4 linked regions of the Yarrowia lipolytica genome follow. The protein of the gene in region 4 purifies or fractionates together with the protein of the main gene of each other region. This does not show direct contact. Links are inferred from orthologs where the notes say so. Each region holds a gene or a part of one and is shown on either strand. Other genes may lie near its edges. The genes, in order: YALI1_D11722g, YALI1_E32816g, YALI1_A05254g and YALI1_C05813g.

The links.
Region 1: the proteins of YALI1_C05813g (region 4) and YALI1_D11722g purify together in Saccharomyces cerevisiae (affinity purification with mass spectrometry, with the first as the bait; 3 studies listed by BioGRID). This does not show direct contact. The link is inferred for Yarrowia lipolytica from reciprocal best matches to the Saccharomyces cerevisiae genes RRP17 and SPB1.
Region 2: the proteins of YALI1_C05813g (region 4) and YALI1_E32816g purify together in Saccharomyces cerevisiae (affinity purification with mass spectrometry; 3 studies listed by BioGRID). This does not show direct contact. The link is inferred for Yarrowia lipolytica from reciprocal best matches to the Saccharomyces cerevisiae genes RRP17 and FPR3.
Region 3: the proteins of YALI1_C05813g (region 4) and YALI1_A05254g purify together in Saccharomyces cerevisiae (affinity purification with mass spectrometry, with the first as the bait; 3 studies listed by BioGRID). This does not show direct contact. The link is inferred for Yarrowia lipolytica from reciprocal best matches to the Saccharomyces cerevisiae genes RRP17 and NOP53.

The regions. Positions count from the first base shown.
Region 1 is NC_090773.1:1,167,731-1,176,326, reverse strand, and holds YALI1_D11722g (uncharacterized protein), read left to right. Parts: upstream 1-4,067; coding exon 4,068-6,620; downstream 6,621-8,596. Other genes in the region: YALI1_D11756g (uncharacterized protein), read left to right, coding at 471-604, 652-811; YALI1_D11686g (uncharacterized protein), read right to left, coding at 6,963-7,703; YALI1_D11666g (uncharacterized protein), read right to left, coding at 8,358-8,596. UniProt on the Saccharomyces cerevisiae protein: Required for proper assembly of pre-ribosomal particles during the biogenesis of the 60S ribosomal subunit. Specifically methylates the guanosine in position 2922 of the 25S rRNA at the stage of 27S pre-rRNA maturation.
Region 2 is NC_090774.1:3,277,952-3,285,225, reverse strand, and holds YALI1_E32816g (uncharacterized protein), read left to right. Parts: upstream 1-3,625; coding exon 3,626-4,849; downstream 4,850-7,274. Other genes in the region: YALI1_E32842g (60S ribosomal protein eL6), read left to right, coding at 1,029-1,592; YALI1_E32792g (uncharacterized protein), read right to left, coding at 4,990-6,018; YALI1_E32776g (uncharacterized protein), read right to left, coding at 6,568-7,274. UniProt on the Saccharomyces cerevisiae protein: Proline isomerase that belongs to an abundant class of enzymes that catalyze the cis-trans isomerization of X-Pro peptide bonds and can accelerate the refolding of proline-containing polypeptides. Specifically binds nuclear localization sequences.
Region 3 is NC_090770.1:521,829-529,029, forward strand, and holds YALI1_A05254g (uncharacterized protein), read right to left. Parts: upstream 3,639-7,201; coding exon 2,244-3,638; downstream 1-2,243. Other genes in the region: YALI1_A05220g (uncharacterized protein), read right to left, coding at 1-246, 863-933; YALI1_A05229g (uncharacterized protein), read left to right, coding at 1,118-1,975; YALI1_A05259g (uncharacterized protein), read left to right, coding at 4,121-6,208; YALI1_A05284g (uncharacterized protein), read right to left, coding at 6,410-6,581, 6,720-6,748. UniProt on the Saccharomyces cerevisiae protein: Late-acting factor in the nuclear maturation of 60S ribosomal subunits, which is required for normal acquisition of export competence. Required for the export of the large subunit.
Region 4 is NC_090772.1:577,834-584,645, reverse strand, and holds YALI1_C05813g (uncharacterized protein), read left to right. Parts: upstream 1-3,247; coding exon 3,248-4,036; downstream 4,037-6,812. Other genes in the region: YALI1_C05837g (uncharacterized protein), read left to right, coding at 873-1,301; YALI1_C05820g (uncharacterized protein), read right to left, coding at 1,579-2,601; YALI1_C05789g (uncharacterized protein), read right to left, coding at 4,269-5,738. UniProt on the Saccharomyces cerevisiae protein: Essential protein involved in ribosomal RNA processing.

The sequences.
Region 1 (8,596 bases), on a different chromosome or scaffold from region 4:
TCACAGTGGATTTGTGTCATGGTAAAGTGCGGCGAGGGTGATTTCTGCGTGACCCACACTCTATCCGGACACATGTTTTCTGTGTCACGTGCTCTCCTTAAGTTGACTGATCCAGCGAAAGCATCTTACCGTTCTGTCAATGTGTCTCTGAGCACAGATCAATCTTTTTCCACTGCTGTGCGTTTTGTTCAGTCGTGGATTGACCCCGATATTGACCGACCTTGAGTCTGGTTAATCTAGTGACGCGCGAAAGCTTTTTACCGTCATGACTAAAAGGGTTACATTTTTTGGGCGACAGCTGGCAGCAGCAGCGATAGCGATTGGAGCCAAGTGTTGCGTCTGTCCTCCAGAATCTGTCTACTAATCATCTCTGGATGATTTCTTCCATCTAGCGCCTGGATAGCAGATGATGGTTCGGTTTCTTGCCTGAGCCACTCCTACCGAACGACGTCAACTATCGTAGACTGTAGATGATGACAGTAGAGTATCTACAAATAGGCGGGGGAGTCCAACAACATGTACCAGTGGCTATCTGCAACGAACCGGAGGAGTCTTGCGCAGTTAGGATCCCGCAGTCCCGACCCTCCGACCAGGCTGATTCCTGGTCTTCCTCAACATGATTCTATCGACTTCAACAGCTACGGACTAAAGTCCACCTCGGAGACCTGCTCGGTTATCTGTTCAACCGTGTAACTCTTTCAGAGGAGAGCACCATCTCGACTACCTGTTCAACTACTCCACATGGCTCGTTTGGCAATACATACAATTGTATGTACTGTACATGAAGGCTTCAATTCCAGTACCTCTATAATACTGCAGGAGTACCTAGGAGTACACTGGAGACTTCAGGTCAAGTATATACTCGTACGGCACTTGTACTACTGGAATCGTAGCTACTTTTACTGGAATCGTAGCTACTTTTACTGGAATCGCAGTGACTTTTACTGGTCCCGTCGCTACTTGTATTGTAACCGCAGCTAGTCTCGAGCTATGCTGAACCGTCTGTGATTATCACCAGCTTTTCAGTCGTATATGATATTGGACCACAAGTATGGTATGGTATCTAGTCCAACCCCTCAAGAGTCTTACCAATAATGGTCCGCGTAAAGGATTGATTTACCGCCTCGCCATCTGTTCTTCCAGTCAATTAGGTCAACTAGTTTGGAACTAGTCTGGATCTACAGCAAGGTGCTAATTCAGACAACAAGAACACTCATTTCCGTCGTTTACTTCCAGAAAATGACATATATATACCCGTAGACCGTCACCGGTTATACCCCAGAGATCGCCATACCCCAAGGAACGTCATACCCCAAGGGAGATCTGTATAAAAGACGAAACATCTACCCTTTCTTGTAGAATTTGGTATAACTATGTTCACAGGACGCTGTTATACAAGCCAATGTGTTTTTACGACCAGGTACAAGCTCTGTAGATGTAACGAGTAAGGAAATTAGAACATTGTTATTCTGAAAACAAGAGGACCCAGACGGCAACTTTGGATACTTATGATCCGCAGCACACTCTCAATCTACTCTACAAGAGCAAGACATGTCTGGAGACTTCAAATACCTGTCGTTTAGACAATGAATCTTGATACTCGGCTGTTTCAAAGGCCCACTATTGTTATATTGCTGATGAGACTTACCAGGTGTCTGTGCATGACTATTTCAGAGTCAGCATAGGAATCCGTGATGGACAAGTCTGCTCATAGATATGTAGAGGCGACCTATATTTATGTAGCGCTGTAATTGCACAAGTAATATACCGGTACTTGAACAGGTAGATACTGTGCTCACACGTCTTGCTTTATCCGATTGAACTTGACCCAGACATGGCCATTCAAGGTCTGATACAGGAAGGAGAATTGTCGATTGTATGTCCGGTGATTGAACTGAATGCTCAGGAAAGACAAAACATGCGATTATATTAGTACACACAGTACCCGCATTAGTACCGGTAGAATTACTTGTTTTACTTATAAAAAAGCCATTTACGACAGTAATTAGACTGGATTTCTTCTAAAATATCGTCATTATGTTTACACCTACTGACACTCTCGTATTTGACTGACTATCTTTCAACTTCTATATCTCCGGTCTACTTACCCACCAAACAGTCTGGTAGCGTAATAAACCACTACAACACACAGAAACTGTACAAAGCCTTCTCTGAATCCCACGGGACATGCTTCAGGAACGCTTCATACTCCGTCCAGGGGTATCGTGTCTTTGGGCATCATCTGGCCCAACACCAACAACGTCAATTGAGCTTCCTGAAACGACTCATCGAAGATCTGAATCCTAGAAACGTTTTAGATACTCAATTGAAGCGAGAGAGTTCGATTATGCCGGGCTCTCATTGAGCGACTTTGGCACTTTCAACGGAGTCTTCAAAACCCCAAAGTGCACAACACGTCTCAAACAGCACTTGTTGATACACAGTTGTTAGGTGCCCGAATAAACCCGACGAGAGGAAACACATATCTGAGAATATATACCAATACAGCACAGCAGCAGTACTCTTTCGAGTCAGCCCAAATCTCCTCCATTTCCTCCAGAAACTCAAAATTAATTAACGTTGGATTTATTGACAATTTATTCGTCTCGACTGCGAATTAGCCGTGTAAATTAAAAATCCAGAGTTATGCACCATCATGCACGCTTAAAACTCTAACAAAAGCTTATTTGACTCGATTTTTTTCTGCTAAACTCAATTTACTGACTACCTGAGAAGTACGAGTACGAGTGAGTTGAAATCGATATGCAATGAAAAAGAGGCCATCTTACAGTAACAAACTGACATCGTCCCTGTCTGTGAACGACTTGAGTCGAATTTGAGCCGAATTTGAGCTGAGACCTCTCTCGCCACATCTTGTCTTCATCGTCTTCATCTTCGTCTTCACCTACCGGATAACTTGATCTTCTCCAATAGCTTCTAGTATACCAACAAAATGACATTGTGGAGGAGATGTCGAGGTACTGTTTACAGAGTTGAATAGCCAGTCCTCTCTGGACACGTGATTCCTCCCGACACTTGATTAAACCGGAATGAGCTCCAGAGTCAGTTTGAGACAGCCTTGCCGCGGAGATCTGCCTAGTCGACCTACCGCGTGGAACGGCCTGGATGATCATTGTCGATATACAGTACCGCGGAAAACTGCCTGATTCACTACTGTATGCTCTGTCGGAACTGGTCGTTGATATGGCCAGAAAACAACACTCCGGCCACCCACGGAACCATGCCAGAACGAGCTCGGTATAGGAGGGAAGGATTGGAGACAAGACGTGAATTCTCTCTCTTGTAATTGTTCGTGGGTCTAAGAATGAACATCTAGATGAACGCCTCTCAGCGCGGCTGTTTAAGACACACGCTAGAAAGGAGCCACTGGTAGAGTAAAACTCAAGCTGAGACGCGCTTTGGTTTCATTCTCGTACGAGTACAACCAACAATTGTACAAGTAGTTCTTCCTAGCACTGAGTAATTCTTCCTAGAGCGTCTCCTAGTGTGATTTTCCTTCTGGTTAGAATGTCTTTATAGGTGCTCCAATATGATCCAGTCCTACTCATTCAGGCTCAACTAAAGCTTAAGTAATTTTAGGGTCCCAGTTTCCACAAAAATGGCAATAAAATCATATTTTGTATGGAGAATATGGGAAATAATATAATTATTTTCATCAATATTCAAATTCCATACAATCTGAACCTTTCCCCATCTTTCTACCACCCCTGGAACACCATATTTGCACCCCCAGCCGAGTTTTCCTTAACAAGGTTTAACTAATCACCAGTCTCAGTCAGTGGCAAATACAAAGTCCATACCCGAGGATTATTGTCATGAACAACATTGCAACCAAGTCAGCTTCCAAAATCATCCCCCTCAAATGAATGAAATATACCGGAGGGTAGGATTTCGCCCCTTGTCCCCTTTCCAACTAATCCCAAGTAAATTACTCAACGGCCCGTCTATGCTTTGTGTTACCCTACCGAACCTTGAGGTTAAAAAATCGGACAGGCTGCATGAGCCTTCTAAAATTATTTTTCAGCTAACCATACAACCAGACAACCATGGGTAAAATTCAAAAGAAACACGGAAAAGGTCGATTGGATCACTACTATCGATTGGCCAAGGAGAAGGGCTACCGAGCGCGATCGTCGTTCAAAATCATCCAGATCAACCAGAAGTACGGCAAGTTTTTAGAAAAGTCCAAGGTGGTGATTGATCTGTGTGCTGCTCCTGGCTCGTGGTGTCAGGTGGCGTCGCAGCTCTGTCCCGTTAACTCACTCATCATCGGCTGTGATATTGTTCCCATCAAGCCGCTTCCTAACGTCATCACTTTCCAGTCAGATATCACCACTGACCACTGCCGACAGCAGCTTCGACAATACATGAAAACGTGGAAGGCGGACACAGTCATGCACGATGGTGCGCCCAACGTGGGTATGGCGTGGGCCCAGGATGCCTTCACGCAGTCCGAGCTGGTTCTGCAATCGCTCAAGCTGGCGGTGGAGTTCCTCAACAAGGGCGGAACCTTTGTCACCAAGGTGTTCCGATCCAAAGATTACAACAACCTCATGTGGGTGTTCCAGCAGTTTTTCGAGAAGGTGGAGGCCACCAAACCGCCCTCTTCGCGAAACGTGTCCGCCGAGATTTTCGTCGTCTGTCTTAAGTTCAAGGCTCCCAAGAAAATCGACCCCCGACTGCTGGACGCCAAGTACGTGTTCGAGGAGGTGTCTCAGGGCAACAACAACAACGAGGCCAAGGTGTTCAACCCCGAGGTCAAGCGACGAAAGCGAGAGGGTTACGAGGAGGGCGAGTACCTGCAACACAAGCGTCTGTCCATTCTGGACTTTATCACAGACTCTACTCCCATTGACAATCTGGGAGAGACCAACGAGATGACGTGGACCCCCAGATCCATCAAGGAGGGAGAGGTTGACGAGGAGGAAGAGAAGGAGAAGGATAAGGAGGCTCGAGACGAGCGGGGAAACGTCCAGTATGTGCTTGACGACAAGGTTTACTCGGACGAAGACGCTCTCAAGATGGTGTCCAAGCTGCCCCAGACCACCCCAGAGCTGCTCGAGTGTCTCAAGGATCTCAAGGTGCTAGGCCGAAAGGAGTTCCGGGCCATTCTCAAGTGGCGACTCAGCGCACGTGACCTTCTGCAGATTGACAAGCCCGAGGCCGGAGTGGAGGTTGAGGAGGAGGAGCTGGACGAGGACCAGCTGATTGACAAGGAGCTGTCTGAGCTTGGCGAGCGAGAAAAGGCCCGTAAGAAGCGGGAAAGACGACGCCGAAACGAAATGAAACAGCGAGAAATCCAGCGAATGCAGATGAACATGACCACCCCCACAGAGCTCGGTATCGAGGCTGCCAAAATGGAGTCACTGTTCAACCTGAAACAGGCGGAGCGAACCGGCAAGCTGAGCGAGCTGCAGAAGGGTAAGCGAAGCCATGTGAGCGAGACAGGCGACGAGCACGTGACTCTGGAAGAGGCCGAGCGGGTCGACTACGGCTCCGACGACGAGGCCAACGGTCTGGAGGATGAGCTCGAGTCCATGTACACCGAGTATCTGGAGAACAAGGCTGCTCGAACTGCCAAGAGTGTGGTTCAGCGAAAGAAAGCCAATGTTGAGACCGAGGAGTGGTTTGGTATTTCCGACAAGAAGGATGGTGACGAGTCTGACGGCGAAATGTCTGCTGACGATGTTGACATGGCCACCATTGACGATGGCGAAGACGAGGACGACGGCAAGACTGCCCGAACTCTCAACAACGGCAACATGTTCTTTTCCAACCCGATTTTCGACAATCTGGTGAACGCCGCCGTGGCCAAGACCGAGGCCAAACCCAAGGCTCTGGACCTGCTGGAGCCCGGAGCCAAGGACCTGATTGAGCTGGAGAAGGCCAAGAAGCGCAAGTACGCCAAGAAGAACGGTCTCGAATACTCCGACAGTGAAGACGAGGAGGACGATATCGTCATGGAGACCCAGAAGCAGGACGATTCTGACATTGAGTACGTGCATGGCGAGTCTGACTCCGACGACGAGCCCAACATTGATCTGGTGACCGACCAGGCCATGACCATGGCCCACCAGTTGGCCACCGGCCAGACCAACAAACACAAGCTCCAGGACGATGGCTACAACCGGTACTCGTTCCGAGACCTGGACGGCCTGCCCCAGTGGTTCCAGGACGACGAAAACAAACATAACAAGCTCAACAAGCCCATCACCAAGGAGGCTGTGGAGGCGCTTAAGCAGAAGATGAAGACTCTCAACGCCCGGCCCATCAAGAAGGTGTTGGAGGCCAAGGGCCGAAAGAAGATGCGAGCTCTCCGACGACTGGAGCAGATGAAGAAGAAGTCCGAGCTGATCAACGAAGATGGCGCGCGATCGGAGAAGGAGAAGGCCGATGACATTTCCAAGCTCATGCGAAAGCTCGCCAAGCCCCAGAAGTCCAAGAAGAAGACCGTCACCGTCGTCTACGCCGGAGGAAAGAACAAGGGTATTGCTGGCCGACCTAGAGGAGTCACAGGAAAGTATAAGATGGTTGATGGAACCATGAAGAAGGAGCAGCGTGCTATTCGACGAATTAAGAAGAAGATGGGCAAGAAATAGTCATATGGATAGAATTAATGGATGGTATTGTATTAGAATAGTGAGAGAGTGGATGTGATTGTTGGTGTTCAGTCAGTTGGACTGTATCTTTAGTTGAAATAGTTTTTTGGATCTACTTAGCATGAAAAGTCCACTGGGGGGCTCATTTCTGGTGTTCCTAACTTACTAGAGAAGAAAAGAGTGTGTCCTAGGATCACAGGGTACCTCTACTAAGTAGAATCAATCAACAGTTCTCCTTACTGATCCAGTCTCTTACTGGATGCGATCCACTACTCACCATATCAATCACCACTCACATCCGTAATCATGTATCTATTCATATTTACTACGAGGTGGCTCGCACTAGTTCTGCTCTCCCCCAGCCAGCGCAATGACTCCGCTGTTCTTCTCCACATCCTCGTCGGGCACAAAGAAGGCTCCTCCCAGGTAAATGGCTGGCTCCTCAATGTTGTTATGCTCGTAAGACAGCACACCGACTCCTCCTGCCTCGAGAATCAGAGCCGGGTTGATGGTGATGTCTCCGTTGACCCATCGCAGAGCAAAGACTCGCAGGATGTGGCCGTGTGCGAACACCATGACGTCGCAATGCTCCTTGCCCTCGTCGAGCGCCTTCTTGTGGATCACCCGGATCTCCTTGATGAGCTCGTCCACTCGCTTCTGCACCTGTTGGGGCGACTCTCCGTCCTCGCAGCCGTCGGACCAAATGTTCCACTTGTGGCCGTCCTTGTCGATGCCTCGCGCGGTTCGGTCGGCCCGGATTTCGGCTGACTTTCGGCCCTCGTACTTGCCGTAGTCCCACTCTCGAATGTCTTCGGTCACGGTCTGGGGGATCTTGGCGAGAGCCTCGGGCTCGTCCTCAAAAAAGAGCTTGAGCGTCTGCTGGGCACGAGATCGGGGCGAAACAAAAATGTGCTCCACGTACGCCGGGTTCACCAGCCGGTTTCGGCCCACCAGCGCCCGTCCCGTCGCTCGCACTCGCTTGACTCCGTTCTCAGTCAATGGCAGATCAGTCACCGACGTGTGTTGGCCGGACTTTGACCATTCGGTCTCGCCGTGTCGTACAAAGATAACTCGAGGGGCCATTGTGTGTGTGTGATGTGTGTGTGTGTGTGTGGGTGGTTTGTTGATGTGTACTTGCGTTTGGAGTGGTTGGAGGAAGAGAAAGAGTGGTCTTGGAGCACTCGTAGCAATCTTGGCAAGTTGCAATACCGCTTGCAGACAAACGCAACGGCTATTTAATGTTCGGTGACGTCAGCTGGGTGGGCCCAAACTAAGTGTGGGGTTCGGGAGGGGCAAAAAAAAAAGCCTTGTCGCGGGGTTCAGAAAGAGGAGAATTTTCGATTCCGTGGAAAACCGCGCGAATTCAGACGGCTTTCTAATGATTCAGACCGATTCGCGTTTCTGGAGCGGAAAAAAACCGCAGTGACTAACAAACCTTAATTAGACGAGTCCATGCATAGACGCAACCAAATGCCGTTGCACACTTTTTTAGGCTCGTCCAGTTATTCCGAGGCGGTTGCAAAGAGTCCTAGGTTTCGACCGAAAATTTGGAGCAAATCGGGCTTCTCCAAGGCAAGGCTTGCAGAAGGCACCAAGAACCTTGTCTACGAGTACAGTATAAGCATAATTGATTACATAACCACATTACACATAGCATGCTGTAGATCCGTGTTCACTCAGTCTTAGATCACGCAGTCTTCACAGTCGTGTTTACTCTGTGATTGCTCAGCCCTATCTCTACAATTGCATCTCAATCTGAGGAGCCTTCTCTCCATTGAGCGCAGTCTCGGCCCTGCCCTTCCATGGTGTGGACAAAAGCCGCTGAAGAAACAGGTCCCGGAATTGTGCAGACTCGGGATTCAGGTCCTGCAGCTCCAACTCGCTGTCAATCAAGCTGGGGAACGACAGAAGCCGCTGCATGCCCCACTCCGTCTCGGACAGCGCCAAAAGAAGCGTGTATCGGGCCATAAACGGCA
Region 2 (7,274 bases), on a different chromosome or scaffold from region 4:
ATATATTATTTTTTTCTGCATTAGTTCCAGTGCGAGTATCAGTACAACTACGAGCAGTCGGCTTCGGGTGTGGAGTGCCTTCCCTTACCCATTAGTGTACGGTATTTGTACTGTAGATCTCGATGGTGGCATATGCATAGATTCGAATGGTTGTGTAGCCTAGACAGTGCCCATAAGGAGTTCCTATACAACATGTACAGTAGCATCTGAGGATACTCGCGTGTTCTTGGACAGCAACTAACCCTACTGTATGAGTACAGTATGAGTAACTTCTTTCCTTACTGTTACAGAAGAACGGATTTCATGTACTGTAAAAAGAAGGAGAAAAAAAAACAGTACAATACAGAATCACGCTAATGCACAAGTAAAATCCAACTAATGTTAGCTAGTTACTCAACCAATTCTAACTAATAACCACTCAGCCCTAATAGACATTTTACAGGTGACTACTTGTACTCGTACTGCAATATCAACCATATATTGATACACGTGACGTCCCAACGCCCTCCCGAGCCACAGCAACCAACCGCGTACTCCGCAACACCAACTGCAGCTCACGTTATGTCGCATGGCGCATCGTGTCCCACAGAAGGGTCTCTATCACGCTGCATAACCACTCTAACTCCTGAGATTGGTGAACTTTAATTTAGTAGCAGCTGTGAGAAGGCCATTTGAGCTCCAAAAAGACACTCAGGAAAAGCGAAAAGAGCACTGTATATCCCCTAATCGTTACTAATCAAACCGTGCCTGTTCGGTTAAATAGGGTTAGGACTGTTTCCTCATCTGAGTGGTCTGTCCCAAACAGGCAACCTCTCGTACCTCCCAACCCTGGGTTAGGGTGTGACTTTGGCTCTGTTTCCTCCCAACTGTCACGTGAATTTCCCAATTAAGCCAAAAGGCAGTCACACATTCCCATTCCCAGATGTACACTCTTTTTTCATGCAGCTCCGGAGCATCGGCCGCCGTCAGGTATAGTGGATTTTCACCGCTCTCATTTTCCACTCACCTCAACACCCTAAACATCAAAAATGTCCAAGCAGATCGGAGGAGCCAAGAACGGCGGTAGCCGAACCGTCCCCACTGAGAAGGCCCCCAAGTGGTACGTCGCTGAGCCCACTCACGTCAAGATCCCCACCGTCCAGAACAAGTCCAAGCTGCGACCTTCTCTTGTTCCCGGTGCCGTACTCATTCTCCTTGCCGGCCGATTCCGAGGCAAGCGAGTTGTTCTCCTCAAGTCTCTTGAGGATGGCACTCTCCTTGTGACCGGTCCCTTCAAGGTCAACGGTGTCCCTCTCCGACGAGTCAACGCCCGATACGTCATTGCCACCTCCACTAAGGTCGATGTCTCCGGTGTCAAGGCTGACAAGTTCACCCCTGCCTACTTCGCTCGATCTTCCGCCGACAAGAAGGCCGAGAAGCAGTTCTTCGCCGAGGGCAAGCAGAAGGAGCTCAAGGCCGAGCGAGTCGCCGACCAGAAGGACGTCGATGCTGCTCTCATTGCCGAGATCAAGAAGACTCCTCTTCTCAAGCAGTACCTGGCTTCCCAGTTCTCTCTCAAGTCTGGTGACAAGCCCCACCTGCTCAAGTTTTAAATTATAAAAACACAAAATGGAACATGGGGGTGGAAAATGGTGGACGGTGGTGAAGCCGTCGTCTGTCAAAAGCTGTATAGCAATGCAATTTGAATTTTACTTACAAGTAGGCGCGAAGCGACTATTTGTACTCGTAGCCACAAGTGGGAGTCAAAAGTAGGAGCGTATATATACGACTGCGTGCACACGTAGAACCAAAAAAAGGCACTGGTATCTGTAGCTCTTACTTGTAAACCGCATTTTATAAATTGTTCCACAAAATGCTTGCCTGTGGTGATGGCGTTGTGCTGAACAGCGCTGACTAGCGGTGATGTGCTGTATTAGAACCTGTGTTTACATGTACTCACCGATATTTACGTCCCGAGTTCGACTCAGACCATGGAAGCCACTTGTACGTAATCACTCACTTGACAAACGGTCTTCTGTGAAGAACCATTGTACTTGTAGCTTGTTGCTGCGGTCTCTCTCTGTAAATACATTCCATGCTGTTCAGACTGCTACTGCCATGCATCTCTGGTCGCTGTTGTTCCGTTGTGAAGCGGGCATCCATTAGTGGCTCTGGGGTGTGGGAGGATGTTGCTTGTAGTTACCTACAAGTAGAACAATGATGGCTCTTCTGGCACGAGTAGTAAGAGTCGAAGTATTGGAAACTGGTGTTCTTTGCACTTTTTTTTGTATTACCAACCTGTCCAGACCTTGTTACTGTAAATGCTACTTTTAGACAACTGTCATACTGGACTAGGCTTGATAAAACAATGACCTTCTAAACTCGCAAGTTTCCTCTGACCTGGTAGATGACTTAAGATAGCTCCCCTCGTCTTTACCTCTCAGACATATTGGTGCCAGTTGCTGTTCACACAGCATGTACGGTAGGTGTCCATTCGCGATACCACTCTCTCTCAACTTGGACACTCTTCCTACAAATGTACAACCGCCTATCATGACCCGTAGCTTCTGGTGGCTACACTGCGGAATGTATCTCACCAGAATGAACACCAATTACAGCCCCTCTGTCACCATGGCATTAATTGAGTCGCCACCTGGGTGTTTGCCACCAACTGGACCTCTACCACATCTTCTGCTACAACATGTCAACATGTATCTCCTCATCTACAGTACGACGTCATCAGTGCATCGTCTATGTGGAGTGCGTTTTTTGTTTTTTTCACTGTGCAGCTTTATATACAGTCCATGGAGCCAGTTTTGGTGGGCCACGATTTGTGAAAAAACCGTCGTCTTTAGTTAAGGCTCAGTTGGTGTTTCACTTAAAGCAGCCGCCCAATGTCCGTGTGGTGCCTGCCAACAAAGCAGCAAGTATTGGGGGTGAAATGAGATGGAAAAAAGAGTAACAAGACCAAAAATGGCTATATGGACTGAGAAGAAGTACAGTTACACATTCTATAGTGACCCGCCATAGTCCAACCCCTATACATGTGACAAATATCCATTCCCATCTCTGCCTCACCTCGCCGCCACCTTATCCTGCACGCCTTACATGAATAATGTGTATGGTGTTGCTGTTCCAAAGAGTTCCATGGGAACGAAAAAAGCCATTGCTCGAGATGGGGGCGACCAATGCAGACCAATCACAATCTCACATGACCAATTCAAGGCTACCACACTACTGGACCAAGCAGCCTTCTCTGCCAGATGTCCCTAAGTTGCTATAAATGTTACGTGACGACACAACCAACAACGATTGCAAGCACCAAGTCCCAAGTCCAAATAGTCCCACGTTTATTTTCCATGGATTGGGTTTGAGAGTGCCTTGATGGGCTGCGAAAGACGACATATCGCCTAACAGCAGTGGACGGTTCTACATGTCATATACACGTATGTTGGTGCATGTGTCCTACCAATTACCTCGATAGATCCCACCATTGCCACAATAACGGTTTCACCGTCTTCCACGAGCTCCAGCCAAATGTACAGCACTCCCGTTAAGCTCTTAGTGCATATGCAACCTTATTCCAAAAATTTGCCCATTTTAAATACTTGGGTCTGCACTTTTGTATCTATCACACACAACAACCATGTCTAACAACGCCAACAACTGCCTTCCCCTGGCCTCCTACACCCTGGCCGTGTTCCCCGGAATTCCCGTGGCCCCCATTGAGCAGGACTTCCCTGTTTCTGTGCGAATCACCATGGCTGCCATTGATCCCGCCCGAATTGAGGGTGATGAGGAGGAGCCCGCCACTCTCCGAATCCTTAAGCCTGCCGACAACTTCGACGATGAGGACGACGAGGATGACGAGGACGAGGATGACGACGATGAGGATGACGAAGTCTCTGCTGAGGACATGGCTCAGATCAAGAAGCTGATCGCCGCCAACGAGGACGGTCTCGATGAGGTTGAGGGAGGAGACGACGATGAGGATGACGACGAGGACGACGAGATGGAGTTCGAGGAGGACGATGAGGACGACGACGACGAGGGTGAGATTGAGGACTTTGTTGTCTGCACTCTCTCCCCCAAGTTTGGATACCAGCAGACTCTTGATCTCGTTATCACCCCCGGTGAGCAGATCATGTTCGAGGTCACTGGCTCCTACGCCATCCACCTCTCCGGTAACTACATTGAGCACCCCTACGACATGGAGGACGAGGATGAGCTCCTTGCTCTCGGTGAGGACGACGAGGATGATGAGGACGAGCTCGACGAAGGCGAGTACGATCTCTCTCCCGATGAGGATGAGGTCATCAACGGTGACGAGCGACTTGTCGAGCTCATGGAGCAGGACGACGAGGACGATGAGGACGATGAGGATGAGGAGGAAGAGCCCGTTGTCGAGCCTAAGAAGATCCTCAAGCGAGCCGCCGAGGAGAAGAAGCAGGAGAAGGCCGCCAAGAAGGCCAAGGTTGCCTTCACCAAGAACCTCGAGCAGGGCCCCACTCCCTCCGAGCCCAAGCCCAAGCTTGTCACCCGACAGCTTGAGGGTGGTGTCAAGATTGAGGACCGAACCGTCGGTGAGGGTCCTTCCGCCAAGGTCGGCTCCAAGGTCGGTGTCCGATACGTTGGCAAGCTCGCCAACGGTAAGGTCTTTGACTCCAACTCCAAGGGTAAGCCTTTCTACTTCTCTGTCGGTAAGGGCGAGGTCATCCGAGGATGGGACATTGGTGTCCAGGGTATGAAGGTCAAGGGTGAGCGACGAATCATTATCCCCCCTGGAATGGCCTACGGTAAGCAGAAGCTGCCCGGTATCCCCCCCAACTCCCAGCTTACTTTCGATGTTAAGGTCGTTAACATCAAATAAGCGATTATCTTCCAAGCCCACAAACGACTGGCCAAGACAAACATATTGGTTAAGTATGTATTTAATGTATTATTGATATAGACGTTAAGGTGTATGCAGTATACTTGTATGTAGGTTGATGTGAATGTACTTAACCCCGGTCACACGTCACTGAGGTTCATGACTTGGCCTGGTTTGAGATTTAAGGTGCCTGAACCAACTACAGGGTGCAACCAGCTTATAAACTGGCCTTCAATATGCTGAATTCCACTGCGAAAGTCGAATAGCACATTAGTCAGAGGGTAGATTAACAGAGTGAGTGTATCTATCACATGTGTTGTTTCCAGAGTGTTGTAGCACACGTATCTATCATCATGGTAACCGATTTCCACCCCATTGGGACTCACCTGATGATGTTCTCCAGTAAGCATGTTCTTCACTTGAAGAGTGTAGTTAGGTCCCTTGAAGAATAGCAGTCCATTTATAAGGACGCAATTGACACTGTTGGCGGAAGCCATAGTTATACATCCTTCCAACAAGTTCATTCTCCTCTCCTTCCAGTTCACAAACAGTATGTCACTAAGAAAGTCTTGTTTGTCTGTTTCCTCTGAGTCTTCCCAGTATCTATGGAGATAGACAAAGGTCTGGTTTGGATTCGAGGCTCTAAAGAGATGCTTGTGTCTTGTGTTTTGGTATTTCATAGGTATCTGGACTCTCAAATCTGGTCCCTGTCGTTTCTGCCACACCACGCTGTTTTCTTCTAGGGCGATGGACTCAAACTCCTTGTTGAATTCAGAGAAACAGTACCAGGACGTAGTATCAGTTCCTCCTTCAGTTTCCACCGCTTTAACACTCCATTCCCGATAGTTCACCACATACCCGATCTTACCGTCTCCTTGTATGTATACGAGGTGTTTGAGGAACCCAGCCTTCGGACTAGGAGGACCTGCCTTCTGACTGCACTTGGTCAAAGGTCCTGTGGTGAAAACCAGAGGTCTGTTGAGTCGAATGACGCTGTTTTTGGCCTTCTCACAGAACTCTCCCCCGATATCTTTCAGGTATAGAGCCCAAACTGCATCGGACAGTTCGTTGCTCAGATGAAAGAGCTCTCTGCACGAGTATCTGAGGTTCAGCGCGGTGCGAAAGTCGACCAAAGAGAAAATCTGAGTCCAAATATCGTGGTTAAGCATGTTTTCAGTTGTTTGAGCGGTTTCCAAAGGTCTGGCAAAAGTCCTTGTGACATTGTGTTTTAGTGTATGTTAGGATGCATTTCGGTGGAAAAACATGTGGGTTCATGTTCGTTAAAGGCGATAAATTTGAAAAGTGAGAGTCGGTGACAGATTTGAGATATTTGCTCAGTAATTTTGTCATGGTTATACGATCCCTAGTTTTACTCATAAATACAGCACTTCCCCAAGGAACTCTTCTCTATCCAACGATGCTACATGCACTATTGTAGTCTTGGCTACTAGTGTCAACTTGTTTATTCGGCTTCGGAGGGTGCATCAGTCTAGATCTGGATACTAGCATCTTGTGAGTGTCATCATAATGAGTACTCGTACAAGTATCTACATTGTACCGTCTCGAACTTGCATGTGTGCTTGCACGAGTACCTATTTAGTACTGTCTCACAATGTCTGGTCTCAGTGTCCTATGTCTCAAACATCTGGGCCTTAGGGTAGCCTCCCATGCCTTAGATTCTCGTAGCTCAAAACAAAATAATACATTATATATGACTTCTAAACACTGCTTTCGGTCTCCTTTCCGTAAGACCCATCGTCTCGCTGTTCCGGGTATTCTTGCTGTTCGGGGTAATGTTCCTGCTGAACGTCCTGGAACTCGTTTTTTTCGCTCTTGCTATGCTTGACAGCTCCGGCGTTGATGTGGGTTCGGCCCCAGACGAAGCCGGGGTAGAAGACGGTCAGAATGGTGATGGCAATGAGCATCATCAGACCGTCCAGCACAAGCAGGTAGGCCTCGTGCTGAAGAAGATTGCCGTACCAGCCCTCAGCCAGCTCGACGACTCGGTAGACGGACCGAGTGAAGACAAAGCCAAAGGCAATGTATGTAGCAATGACAAAGTACTTCATCTTGGGCGACTCTCGAATAGCAATGATTTCGGGGTCATTGGCTCGAGAGTCCGCGACGTTGGGGTTACGGATACCCTTGTGCACTCGCCACAAGAAGTCAGTGGTCATGATAAAGAAAATTGACATGGTGAAGACCTGAAAAGCCATACCGGCGACCATGATGTGAGTTCCGTCGTCGGTAGACTTGTTGTCGTAGAGAGCAGTGGCTGAAATACCTCCTCCTACAGCCTGGATGACAATGGAAATCAAATCACAGGCCACGAAGATCAATGTGTACACCAGAGGAGCTACCCGACTGTAGCTCTCTCCGTAGATGACGACAAACTTTGCCAGCAGACAGTAGACACCCGCCATTA
Region 3 (7,201 bases), on a different chromosome or scaffold from region 4:
GCCTTGGAGTCGTCGCTGTACTTGCTCTGGAGCTTCTTGATCTCTTCGGGATCAAGAGGAGGAATAGGCACATCGCCAAAGTCGTCGGTACGCAGAGAGTACATGGTGTATCCGTAGATACCGGCGACAAAACCGGTGAGGCCGGCCAGAGCGAGCATGTTTCGCACAAAGAAGGGTCGTCGGGCCCGAATCAGAGCGGGGGACATCTGGAAGGTCTTGGGGTCAATGTACTTGCCCTTTCGGAAACTGTGTTAGAATGGAACGGTCGAGCATGGTCGAAGGTCAGGGGTCAGAGGTCAGAGGTCAGAGGTCAGAGGTCAGAGGTCAGGAGTAGGTCCTTCAAGATACCATCGAAAGTTTAGAGGGTGTAGTTGTGATAAAACCGACGTGCTGCTTGCTGTAGCAATTGATTGGCTGGTTGCGGCATGTGGCTAGCCACAGCAATGCAGAGTTCAAACGGGTCTGTCACAAGCAAGACAACGTGTAGATTTTCTGGAGAAGAGAAGGATGAAGGAGACACATTTCTCATTCACGGTGTTGTCCTGGTCACAAAATGTCCGTGTAGATACTGAACCCAGAGTTGCATTGAGAGATCAGTGGCTCTGATCGTCGCACGCAGCTGTAGTGTCTTGAAGAGAGTGAGATTGGTAGTTTGATTGCAAGTCGCTTTGGGGAATACCAACCAAACACGTCTCTTCAAATAGCCCATTTCAACCACAACTTCTCTTCACACTCCCGTCCACCATTAGCCACCCGAATCCAACCTCCACCGCCAACACTGCCTGAGTGTCGCAGCCACCTCCTGTCTCTGATTACGACACATATCATGGCGTGTCAATCTCTCGATTGTCGTGATACTCACACTTTGAGACCGGGCTGGGGTTGCTTGTGCACCTCAAAGGTGCCCTTTCCGTTATGGGGATCCTGAGACATGTTTCTGTGATGTGTGGGTGTGTGTGATATGAGCCCTTGGGTGGTGAGATTTTGACCTCATGAGATTTTGAGTTTGGAGACAAGGCGAACAGGTAGGGTAACTTCATTGCATACAGGATGCGCTCTCCTGGATATGTGGTGATGGGCCAAAAGATTTTGAAAAGATTCCTGAATCAGTGCGACAATGGCAAAAATTCAACTGCGACACAAGAAACGGTTCAGCGCGTTGGGAAACAAGCCCGTTAAGAAAGCGGCGTCTCCAGACAGAGCGGGCTCCGCCACGGACACCCCGACTGCTGTTCCTGAAAAGCTGACTGAGAAAGAGGAAGAGCTCAAGACTAGCACAGAGGAAACTGCGGTGGAAAAGACTCCGGCTCAGACAGAGTCCCCCGTGAATACCGCTGCATCTTACAAGCAGACAATGGTGCCCAACTCGGTCCGAAAACGGCTGAGAGCCGAAAAGCGAGCTGCCAAGGGCCAGTCGGTTGGGGCGGATGGAAAGACTGTGGTTGTAGAGACTGCGGTTGTAGATACTATTGCTGGTGATGCGGCTGCGGACTCAACGACAACTGAGACTCAAACTGCTCCGAAACGCCTCGGAAACCTGTTTAATTTGCGAGCCCAGCAGGAGAAGGAAGTAAGGGAAGACACCAAGGTCGAGATCATCAAGCCACAGGCTATTGGGGACAATGTTACACAAGTGGCTGAGCCACCGATTATTGTAGTTTCTGAAAAAACACATGCCCAAACGCTGGATGCAGCGCCTCGGCCCAAGAATCGAAGCAAAGATCGAGAATTTGAGAATCTGGCGAATGACAACATCCACGAGTTCTCAGTGGACGCTTTCACGGAGGAATCGGAAAGACTCAAGGCCGAAGGAAAGCTTGACGAGTACAAGCGACCTCTTACGGCCATTGGAGGAGGCAAGCACCAGATCACCAGTCTGTTGCGACAAGCCCAGGACAACAAGGAGCAGCTGGAGGCGTCATACTCTCAGAATCGCCTTACCCAAAAGGAGAGTGGAGCAAAGTATGGATTTTAGAGCGAAAAATCGTGACTGCACGACTATGTTTACTGTATTATATATTTATTGCATTTATTTAAAATCAGATTTATAAGTGTAGAAGATCTCTTCCGTCCTAATTGTAGATTGTCTGCTCTACAGTAACTCGTTCGCTCCGCATAAATGATTAGACCCATTACCACTGTACCTGTACATACAGTAGTCGTATCGCAATACCAATATCTCACCTTGACATCCTGTATAATCCAAAATATATTACTTTTCACTAATTCCATCCCATCTGCATCTATTTGAAGTCCTTGAAAGACCACTTCTCGGTCACCTTCTTCTTGTATCGGGGCTTGAGGTTGTGTCGCTTTCGAGCCTCGATCTTTCCTCGCTGCTGCAGCGATCGGAACCGGTCTCGCATCAACGATCCCTCGGGCTTGAGTCGTCGAAGAGAGTCTGTGAGCTCGCCTGAGAGCTTGACATCGAGAGTGGGCTCCAGAATTTCGTATTTGCCGTACCGACGGGTTCGCACCTTCTCGGCAGCCTCGCCTCCTGCAATGAGATCCTTGAGATCCTGCTTCTCCTGCTCGGACTTCTCGGACCGCTTGGCGAGCTGTTGCATCTTCTCATGAATCTTCTTCATCTCCATCTTCATTTGTTTTCGAATTCGTTCCTTTTCCTTGTGTTCTCGCATCTGTCGTCGCTTAGCCATGCTCTTTCGCTTCTCCTTGGCAGGCGCGTTGATAGACAGACCGACGCTACCGCCCTCGAGTTCCTCATCAGAGGCCTCCTCCTCTTCCTCCTCGGACGAGTAATCCATCTGCTTGTCCTCGTGGTCCTCCATGGTGTCCATGAGATGCTGGACACGGGCTTGGTCGGCCTCCAGCTGCAGTCGTTCCTCCTCCAATGCCTCTTCCTTGGCCAGCTCCTCCTTGAGAAGAGCCTGCCAGGCCTCCAGAGAGGGATTGTAAGATCGACCCTCGTGGGGAACCTCAATAGCCTTGTCAGTGGCTCCAAAGACAAGAGGCTTGTGGTCCAGAGTGGAAGGTCGCACAGTGCTTCGGGTTCGAGAAGTGGCCTCTCTGTGATCACCGTTAGCAAAAGTAGCCCGCATGATGTTCTCAGGCTTAGCAGACTTGGGCATGTATGCAACCCGAGATCCAGCATTCTTGACCTTGGTCATACTCTGAGGGAAACCCTGGAACTCGGATCGGGGCTTGACCACCTTGGATGCAGTAATGGTCTTCTTCTTGGGAACCACAGGAGCGGGGGCCTCGTCCCATGCGTCGTAAACAGGAGTCTCCAGGACAGAGTCGGCTTGCAGAGCAGCCTCGGTCATCTTGTTGTCCACATCTCGTCGTCCAGCCTTCTTCAACAGCATATCCAGCTGCTCCTTGCTCATCTTCTTCTCCTTCTTGGTCTTTTTGCCAATCACGCCGGGGACAGCAGATCGCCGGGCAAGAATCTCGTCCGACTTGAGACGCTTCTCCTTCTTTTTGCTATGGTAAGTCTCGACATCGCCAGACGTTCCAGCTGTGTCCACAGTGAAGAGAGCATCACCAGCCTGCTCCAGGTTCTTGGAGCCAAACTGCCGCTCGTTTTCTCGAGCGCTGTCTAGACCGGCGTTCAGATCCTCCAGATCAATGTTCTTTCTCCACGCCTTCTTTCCTTTTCTGCTCGTTTGTTTGCTCATGTTGTCGTGTGCTTAGGAAAACTGCCCTTTGGAATTTTCTTCCATAATGCATCAACCTGCACATTTTTTAGAGTTAGTCTTCCTGTTGGGTTAGGGCTGAGTAGTATTGAAACCTTAAATCCGAAATAAGAGACACAGACCACAAACTCACCTCTTTTGTGTATACTGTACTAGTTAATCTCGGAATCTTGGTATTCAACTTCTTCTTCTTCTCCTTCTTTTTCTTTTCGACTTTTCGGTTTCCCGTCATTGAAAACCGCCGCCTACTAACGCCACTAACAAAGCATACCCTCATTGAGATACATCGCTACTGATACCCCCGTTTGATACCGACTTCTCCCCGTGACACCCCTGGTGTGATATCCTGGTGTGATATCCGCTCTGAGACCTATCTGTGACACTGTCTCATCTGTCAAAGCAGTAATACCAGCGACTTCCGTGTCTTGCTCGATACGCACCCGTCTCACCGACGGACCGATACCATGGCCACCACCGTCCTTGCTGACCTGGCAGTCTTGTTACACAAAATCTCGCATGAAGTGGACACGGCAGAAATCAACGGCAAGCTCAAAGATGTCTACTCCATCCTCGAACCGACCATTGCGGAGTTCAAACGACTCGGCGCCAAGGCCAGACTGCACGATGTCCCCGACGCACTCTGGAAGTCTCTGACCCAAACCATCACCACAATCATGACTCTGTGTGAGCAGCGTGGTTTGGAGAAAGAGCGACAGATGTGGGCTTCAAAATGGGCCACGTTCAAGCAGTCCTACCAAAAGGGCAAGGCCGCCTTAGCCGAGGAGCGCAGGCGGTGCGACAATCTCAAGTCCGAAGTCGATGCTCTTCGTGACCAGCTCAAAGATCTGCAAACCGCGGGTTCGAATATGTCTGAGAGTCGCAAATTGGCAGACGAAGAACATCTCGCAAGACACATGCAGCATCTCAGCGACGCCAACAACGACAAGATCAAAGCGATCGCGGAGATTGAGAAGCTCAAGGCCAGCGAGCAGATTGCAGAGCTCAAGTTCAACATGGTCTCAAAAGAACGTGACGAAGCGCTCAATCATGTTGCAAAGCTACAGTCGCAACTGGTATCCAAGGATGAGGAGCTGACAGAAGTCCTGGGCCGTGTCAAGTCCGACGCCACCCAGACTCAGATGGCTTTGTCTGACGCCGAAGCTCAGCTGGCCCAAATGGATAAGGAGATACAGACCATGCGATCCCAATTGACCAGTAAGGAAAATGAGGTTCATGACCTGCAGGCCCGACTGGACCATACACTGGAGCAGAACACATCCATTGCCAAGGAGCTGGAGGATACCAAAGATAAGGCGATACAACTACAGGCCAGCTTGGAGGACTTTTCCTCCCGTGAGTCTCAGTTCCAACAGTTCCGCAGGAGTCCCCACGACCTCAATATGGCTCCTCTTGGCCATATACAGCAACTGCATCCCAACATGCACTCGCCCTCTACTGGAACCCCTCCTTCTCTGCTTCATTCAATTCAACACACTCCACCTTCGCATGCATTCCCTATGCAACACACGCCACCTCCGCATTTGCAAGCTAACCATCATTACCAATCAACACCACCTCGTCATGGCTCATACCACCAGTCGTCGCCTCTTCACAGTGCATACCACGGGACGCCGCCTCTTCACAGCTCCTACTACCAGTCGCCGTCTCCGAACCACGTCTACAATCAAGCTTTCTCGCCATGTGTTGGCCAGGGATCTCCTTACGGCGGTCAAACATCAGCTCATGGATACCCAAATAAGGGTCCCCCTCGACCCCGAACGAATGGAAGGGACGGAACGTCGAGACCACAGACTGCTCACAGTATTGCCAACCAACAGCACCAGGAGCCCCTCGAGGGCTACTTTACTGATCAACCTAGTCCGTTTGTGGACCAGCCGTCTCAGAAGCATAACCGCCCGGTATCGAAAGGGGTCCGATGGCCTGATAATCTCCCAGACACGCCTTTGATGACGATGAACCGCGGTGATAAATGCGAGAACAAAAGGCCGAGCACAAGCCACTCAGACAGCGCCGGTATCGTCGAAGCCACCCCTGTCAAGACCAAGTCGAGTCCTTCCAAGGAGAATGTTAGCCCTGCCAAGCCTGGCACGAGTCCCTCCAAGGCCTCTCCCACAAAGTACGGTACTCTGAAGAGGAAACTTAGGGGGATTCGTAGGCCTCCCTACGGGTACATGACAGGAACATCCGGTGGAACCGTGACAGCGGAGGCTGCGCTCCGTCTCGACCATCCCATTGTTTCGTGGGAAGGTCCCTACTTTCATTCCCGCTCCCGCTTTGGCCCAGTCCCAGCGTTTTTGGATGAGCGGCTGGAGACGATGAAGCAAGATCTCAGTCCTTCTCTCGTCGCCCTGATGTGGAGCAAAAGTTGTCGACGAGCCTTGCGTCGCAGGCCTGAAGGGCCGGGTGGAGTAAATATCGAATCGCTTAAGCCTTTGCAATTTGAAAAGACCAAGATGAAACTGGCAGATGGGCTCGGAGACCGCATGTGTCTGGGTTCCTTAACTTGGCCAGTGCAGATTCATGTCAATTAGATGAGCAAGTTGCTAGTTAAAAGATATGTGGGTGTATGTATGCCGTTGCTGTACATACTAGTACAGCATGTTATATAACGATATGTGATTACTGTTCTTCATCTCATCTCCACTCAGGTCAGAGGTCGTCAACTGTAATTACAGTGCTGTATCTAAAGTAACCAAAAGCTCCCCATATTCTTTATTCTCTTTTGGAGACTTCTAGAGGAAGCCCCCGGCAATGGAGATTCGGTTCTCCTTGGTTCCGTAGACGGAGAGCTCCTTGGTAAGAGACCGGTGTAGCAGAACACACCAATCGCAACTGTTCTGTTCGTTCTCGAGAAAGAATACGTTGGTCCGGCAGACGAGCAACTGAGCGCGCGTGTCAGAAGGGCTCAGTATATCCTGGGCGATTTGGAGCTGATGTTTCACAGAGAGGACGACGACGACTACAACAAGGGCTGTGAGATCTTGTTTGCCAATCTGCGGACGGAACTGCGCAAGTCAAGCCCCTTTTGTATTTTGGACCCACCAAAATAGGGCGTTTGGTACGAGACGCATTGGCGGGAGTACAACTCCGTGATCGAGGCTGTGCCCGCCATTAAATTGATAGGCAGGCTGATATCACTGGGTGAAACGAGTGTTCGAAGCTCAAGGTGGAGGCTTTACAAATTTTACAAGAGCGAATCAATACACTGGTTGGTAAGGCTTTTCAGAAAGAAGAGTCTGTGAAATGATTGGTCAAGGCGACAACTTTTCTCAGAGTACTTGGACCAGACGAATAGTCGCCCTGGCTAACCTGATTTACACTCATTTAGACCTGAAAACTTGCGTTTAGCTCAGAGAGATCAATTCTTTTTGGTACACGTTTTTCCAGCAGGCAGGGGGTGTTCTAGAGGACAAGATCAGACGGTGGTCTTCATGAATGCAACCTGGCGGCAAGCTAGCCACTTGGAGGGACTGAGCTTTGGTCTTCGTGAAGCGTCTTTCAAGTAGAAAGTGGGAAACTACAGA
Region 4 (6,812 bases):
ACTCATTATAGCAATATCAAGGATAATTCCAAATAATCGACTGTAACTACTCGGATGAGTTCACACGGTGGTTCATATAATGCACACTTGCCATCGTTGGCTCATCTGTTGGAAGGGTCGAGCCTCTTCCTTCAACACCTCTCCAACTATCACTTGTTGAACGAAAACCTGGACGTGAGTGACACCACTAGTTTCCATTATGAGGGACGATTCACTCAGCTGAATTTTTTCAATCGGATGGAGTGTTCAGTCGAACCCTCCACTAGGGTGCGGTGACTCTCCTGATGAGTCTCTCTGTTAGAGAGAAGAGTCTGGTTATTGGAAAGACTTCCAGTAGGTGATATGCAAGTCGTTAATGCATTTGTTATGGTATATCTAAAAAGTTTTGTTATTTTTTCAACATCACTCAAATAAATTTCATGAGTCTTAACAAAAATGTGCTTTCCACTCTGAAGACCTGGACCCGACCCAAGACGCTTTGCAGGAGCCCCCTTGTATATAAAGCGGGCTGGAATTTGCACGTGTTTGGAGGGGGCTCTTAACATGTCAGATTTACAACTCCAGTTGGTGAGATCGTTTTGACAACGAAGTAGTGCGCTCATCAGTGGTCTCTTCAAATGCTGACTGGATCATGCTTCTCCTCATTGGTGATGATGCATAAATTAGAGTCGACGCTCATAGGGAATTAGCGAAGATATCGAGAAAATCGACATTCAAAAGTAACCGAAATGTCCCCATGATCTCGTCAGGTAATCCCCTTTCTATTTGTGAACAATTACTCGACCAACTACCATTCCTATCCTGGCTGTCCTCTACATCAGAATTAACTCAGGAACTGAACTCTACCATTACAACTACACTCAGTCGTCATCATGAAAAGAAGCCGAGATGAAGACCTCGAAGATACCTGCAGAGATTTTGCACCAACTCCAAATACCTATCCAACCACTTATACCTGCTCGCTGCACCCCGATCCAATCTCTTTTGCGTCATTGGAGGCCTTCGAAAGTCATTACTCAACCAGCCATACTTGGACATGCACCACTTGTCAGGCCAGGTTTCCGAGCGAAAAATTTCTGAATCTGCATCTGGACGAAGAACACGACCCGTTCGTAGCGATATCACGTGACCGCGGCGACAAATATCTTGCATGTTTTGAGGAGGGCTGTGATAAACGGTTTGCAGAGTACAGGAAGAGGAGGATGCATCTGGTTGACAAGCATGGGTATCCGAAGAACTTCAGGTTTGGACTGGTGACAAAAGGACTGAAGGAGGGTGAGGTTTCGCTTTTGAAGCAGTGATGAGTCGAGGATGAGCAACTCAGGGCTAGACGGGTGGTTGTGAGTTTTTGGTTTCCAAACTCACAATGGGCACGTCTGAGGGGGATATCGCAAGCAGTGCTGTAGAGACGACGAGATCGACACAGCGCCAATAACTTTACATGTATACACATTCAACTGCCGATTCTGGCCACATACACTAACCATTCATCAAGGGTTATACAAATACATTGCATTATGTTTACATCTATGCTATATGAACCGCACTGGTTCATGTTAGGGATCGGTCTAATAGCAACTATGGCTTAACGACCTTCTTTTTCTTCTTCTTGAGAGGTTTTCGACCCAAACCAGCCAAAGTCTTCTCAGAGTAGGTAGTATCGCATGTAGGACATCTTCTGTTGCTGGGAATCTGGCTCATGATACACAGACAGACAGAGCAGACATAGCCAATATCCACCACCTGTTTAGTCAGGAAACATGCTGCTCGAAAGTCCACATTGGACTGGGTGGGCAGCACAATATGGGGTCGTAAACTGGGGTCTGAGATAAAGCCCGATAGCAGATACTGAACCAAACCCTTGGGTGTTTTGGAGTTCTTTTCACTGATATCCATGTAGATGCCGTGTGTCGAGTCGCATGCTTGTTGCAGAAAGACCTGGTCGGATCCAGGACCCAGTTTGCACACATCGACGGGGATCTTGAGCTTTTGGGCGGCGAAAATGCAGTTCATAGTAGGGATGTATTGGATGGTTTCGTTTTTGTGTCCGACGGTGAGCAGCAGGATCCTTGCTCGCATTCTCGACTCGTCCACAAACACATGTTTGTTTATGAACCCTAGAGCTAGACTCAGTGCTCCGGAGATGGCCGAGTTGTGTTGTTTCTCCTCCTCCACGTAGTTGGTGTGGTTCAGCATGTTCCACAGCTCCGTCTGCACAACCTCGTCCACCGTCTTGAATTGTCTGTACATGGAGTGGTCCTTCTTGCTGGGTGCCTGTTCTCCATCGCTTACACTCTCCGATCTCTCTTCTCTCTCCTTTGATCTAGTCGATTCAACGCCGCTTTTAGGAGGATACAAAATTCGAGCACCACTGGCGTTGTATCCAATCACATTAACGCTGTTGGAGTTGTGCAGAGCCAAGTGGGCGTTGATGAAGACGAGAATGGAAGCCACAGCCTCCGAGATGGATATTTGCGACTTGATTTCTTCCCACGACGGCACATGGGCGTCAATGATGATCGACAACAACGACGGCGTGTCGTCCAGAGTCTGATCCTCCGTGTCCTTGAGCTGGCGGGACGTTCCATCAATGGCGTTCATGGTGGTGGAGGAAGGCTTCGGTGTCTGAAAAGTAGATGTTAGATAGAGGATTTGAGTTTGCTGATTTGAATGAGCTGCGAAAGTACCAGTACAATCCTGTCTTGTACTTGTACGAGTGTACAGTTCTTTTTACACGTGTATAGGGGTGGGTACATATTGATGTGATCATGTGATATAATTAGTTGATACTGTACTGTGAGTGGGATTACTTATCCAGTTCCTTTCTTCTCGGTCTCCATCAAAGCTTAGTCATGTCATATTTCAGTGGTCAGCCAGCCTGAACTTACCTCCCTACAATATCGTGCCAGTAGAGTGAATCGAACTCACGCCACTGCCCATACAATTGTAACATGTCGCTCTATCACACTCAGGGTTCGTATTTGAAGCTGTTATGCATCACTGATCGGTTCGAAACTCGGCCCGGATCTTCAATCCATGGTCCAAAGTGCTCAGAATGTCCCGGCTTCCACTTCCGCTTCCTCATTCTTCTTTTCATTTCATACACCCCGTCTACAAGTAGTGCCTTCCTCATAACAGAGTTCGAGTCTCATGCAGGTCTAAACCTCCACTGATATTTTTCATTTAAGCGTTCACCTCATTTTCGAGTTTTGGCCTGACCCCTATATACCCCAAGACACTCCCCAAAATGGCCGCCACCAACAGACAGATCTTGACGCAGGGCGACCGGTCATACGCCAAGAAAAAAACTAGCCAGTTTGGCGTGGATGAGGTCTCCTACGACGCCGCCAACCGGAAGGAGTACCTGACGGGCTTCCGAAAGCGAAAGCTGCAACGAAAGGAAAAGGCGCAAGAGAAGGCCAAGGAGCAGGCGCGGCTGGACCGGATCGCCGAGCGGAAAAAATTGCGAGACGAAAGAAAAGGTGACCAGGAAAAGGAGCGAGCTCGAATGCAGAAGGCCATGAAGGATATCGAGAGAGCTCGATCGGGCTATTTCAGCACTGACGACGAGAAGGATTCTGATTCTGGCGACGAGTCTGAGGATGAAGAGGAGGACGAAGAGGAGGACGAAGAGAAGACTTTAAAGAAGTCGAAAAAGTCGTCTAGCACTGATGAAGACGACTTCTCCGACTGGGAGGGTATCGATAAGCCCGGAGTGCTCAAGAAGCAAAAGAAGAAGTACGTGGACGGTCAGGGAAAGAAAACCACGGTGACCATTGAGGCCGTGTCCCTTGATTCCGATGATGAGGACCAGAACAACACATATGTGGACATGTCCAAGGCTGACGAGGTCTTGAAGGAAAGCTTGGACAAGGCTGGTCTGGCCGCTGTCTACTCCGGCATGGCTGAGCCCAAGGTCAAGAAGCTGGTCAAGAAGACCAAGAAGAAGTTCCGATACCTGTCTTCCACTGAACGAAAGAAGAACCTGGACAAGGAGCGAGCTCGAGCCAAGGCCAAGCGAACCAAGAAGGAGTAGGACACGTTGGACCGTACTGGTAGATAGTTTATTGCATGCATGTATTATAGGATAGCCAGGAATAGGGCGTAGATATGGTTGGAGTGAGTTGTAACGAGTTTCAGTGTGTTGCGTGTGATATGAATTCAACACCGAAGTGCGAACTTACTACGTATATATCTACAGTACATACTGTACTATTATCAGATCATTAGCCGTTACTCCTGGATAAATAAAATGCTCGAATACTTCTTTACAGCATATACACAAACTCCTTCTGGGTCTCACTGATGGTCGCATGATTTGTTCCACTGATGCGTCGTCGTTTCAGAAAGAAGACAATACCCAGAGTACCAAATACCGAAGCGATCATGAACCCCATGTTGATCCAACATCCCCGTTTGAAGAGTGGACCATCTGTTGAGGTGAAGACTCTCAGGACCAGTACTCCATACCAGCAGCTCACAGACGAGAAAATGGCGAAGGACATGAGTCGCTTGTTTCTGCCCTGAACATTACTCCCCAGCCATCCACAAAGAGAAGCAAAGGCAGCAGTTGCATTAGGAATCGTGAACCAGCCCCCTCCGAATTTGATCCACCAGTTGTGTTCTGAAGGCTTGCACAGAATAAGTGCCCATCCAATGATGCAGAAGAGATAATTCATGAGCAGAAACGGGGACAAAACTTTTTTCTGGGCAACCAAATACCCCTGAAAACTTGACCAAATGACACCAAACACGAGAATAGTCCATATGATCAACTGTCCCAAGGCTGCGGTATACTCCAACTCTTCAAAAGTCGCACTTTGAACCTGTGCATAGCATGACACCAAACAGGAGTATGTAAAGAAGCCAAGGATGGAGATAAACCAAACCAAGGGATCTTTTGCAGCGGAAATCAGACCTTCTAGAGGTGTCTCGGTCGGTTCAATTGGGTTTCCTCCTCCGTAATCTTCTTCAGTAAGTGTCTTGAAGACGTTGAATGCCTGCTCTCCGTACTTCGATATCCATTTTGGAGAGTAAAAGTTCTCAGGGAGCATGTACCAGACCACCGGAGCAAACACTACTGAACATAGGCCGGCTATAAAAAAGTCCCAAGACCATCCGGGTTTGCCTGCATTGATGAGACGAATCGCGATGGCCAGCATAGTGAACAGGGGGACCATGAACCAACTTCCACCCCAGACACAACCGACCACAAAGTGAGCCTCGTATCGGCCATGGTGTTCATAAATCATGTGGAGAAGAGCAGGCAGAGCAAAGCTCATACATGCTCCCATTACTGCTCTATCACAAATCAGCCCTGCATAATTGGTACAGAGACCCAGAAGAACAATGCACAGACCCCAACAGAACATTTCAACACCAATAAACACTCTAGGCGAGACTCTGAGAAACAAAAATGCCAGAGGAACTGCCAAAGTTGCATAGGGAAAGTACAGGGCAGCCTCAGTCCACTCAAATTGGGTATCGGACAGGTGGTTGAACTCCTGAAGCTTTCCTCCCTGAGCAGGCCCAATAACGTCACGTGCAACCAGATGGGCCACGTAGAACATTTGCAGCTGTCCGGAAATGGCTAGTGTTGTGTTTCGTCGGAGCTTTTTGAAACTGTTGGTTTCGATAAGAGTCCCTGACTTCTGAGAAGTTGTGTCAAGGTCTCGTTGCGACTTGAGACTAGGGTTCTCTGAGCCTGACAGAGGTGTGGGTAGTTTTTCGGCGTCCATAGTTGTTCATCTTCTCTGATCTCGCCATCCATTCAATATATATATCTCTCCATTCCTTAGCTCTTCCATCACGCAATGAAAAACTGTGGCGCATGAAGAGATTTAAGGAGTATCTCTATTGCTGAGAAGGGTGCTGTGCAAGAGAAGAACCATCTATTGCTCTTAAAACACCTATTGGTGGAGAAGGTATCTACTGGAATGTCTGTAAGCAAAAAGTAAACAGTTATTATGCTCCTTTCAAATCAATTGCACATTTCCCAGTCTCTCCCACTGCTCTCCTCCACGTCTACTTTCCCAGGATATTCAATTGACCTCGCCTTCTAACACCGTTTCTAGAAGCTCAGCCTCGTAACGATATCAGAGTTGTCCAAGAACCGAGAAATGCCACTGTAAAGAGAATATCTAGACAGCTTCAAGGTTTCTACAAGTAGATCAGCTCAACGTTTGTACAGTTGAGAACCTCTTACATCTCGTTTAAGGTACGCAATGCAGGGATTTGCGGCTACCAAAAACGTGTCTTAGAGCCTGGTATGAGGTCTTTGTCCACTGAAGACTTGATAAATGTATCGTTTTTCACGCTCGCATCCGGCTGGAAGTCATATTTATCTTGCCAACGGCACATTTCAGCCTGTAATTGTGTCTCCATTCATACCTCCGAGAAAAGACAACCTTCATAGAGCCGAGTTATTTAGCAATCAGTAAGTATTATCAACTCAATACCAACTCAAAGAGCTCGCTAAAAGTCTTCCAAGTGGCTTTCAGAACCTTGCAAAAACCTACACTTTGTCCAAAAGATCTCCAAACTCGCTCCAGGCCGTTTAATTGAACGGTGACCTTATCCACTCTCATTCGGAGTCATAGAAAGTCACTATTCTGGTAAATATTGCTCTTAGGAACTTGAAATTCGTACTGGAGAAGTTTTTAACAGGTTTTAATCAGTAAAAACAATTACTAGATCCCCAACTGCTCTGTCGAAAGTTCAGCGTCACATCCAGCGATCTCTGGCGGAGTGCATTAGATTAGCGCGTTTTAACGGTCTCTTCCAGCCCTCCGAAAGTCGACTCAAGAGCAGAT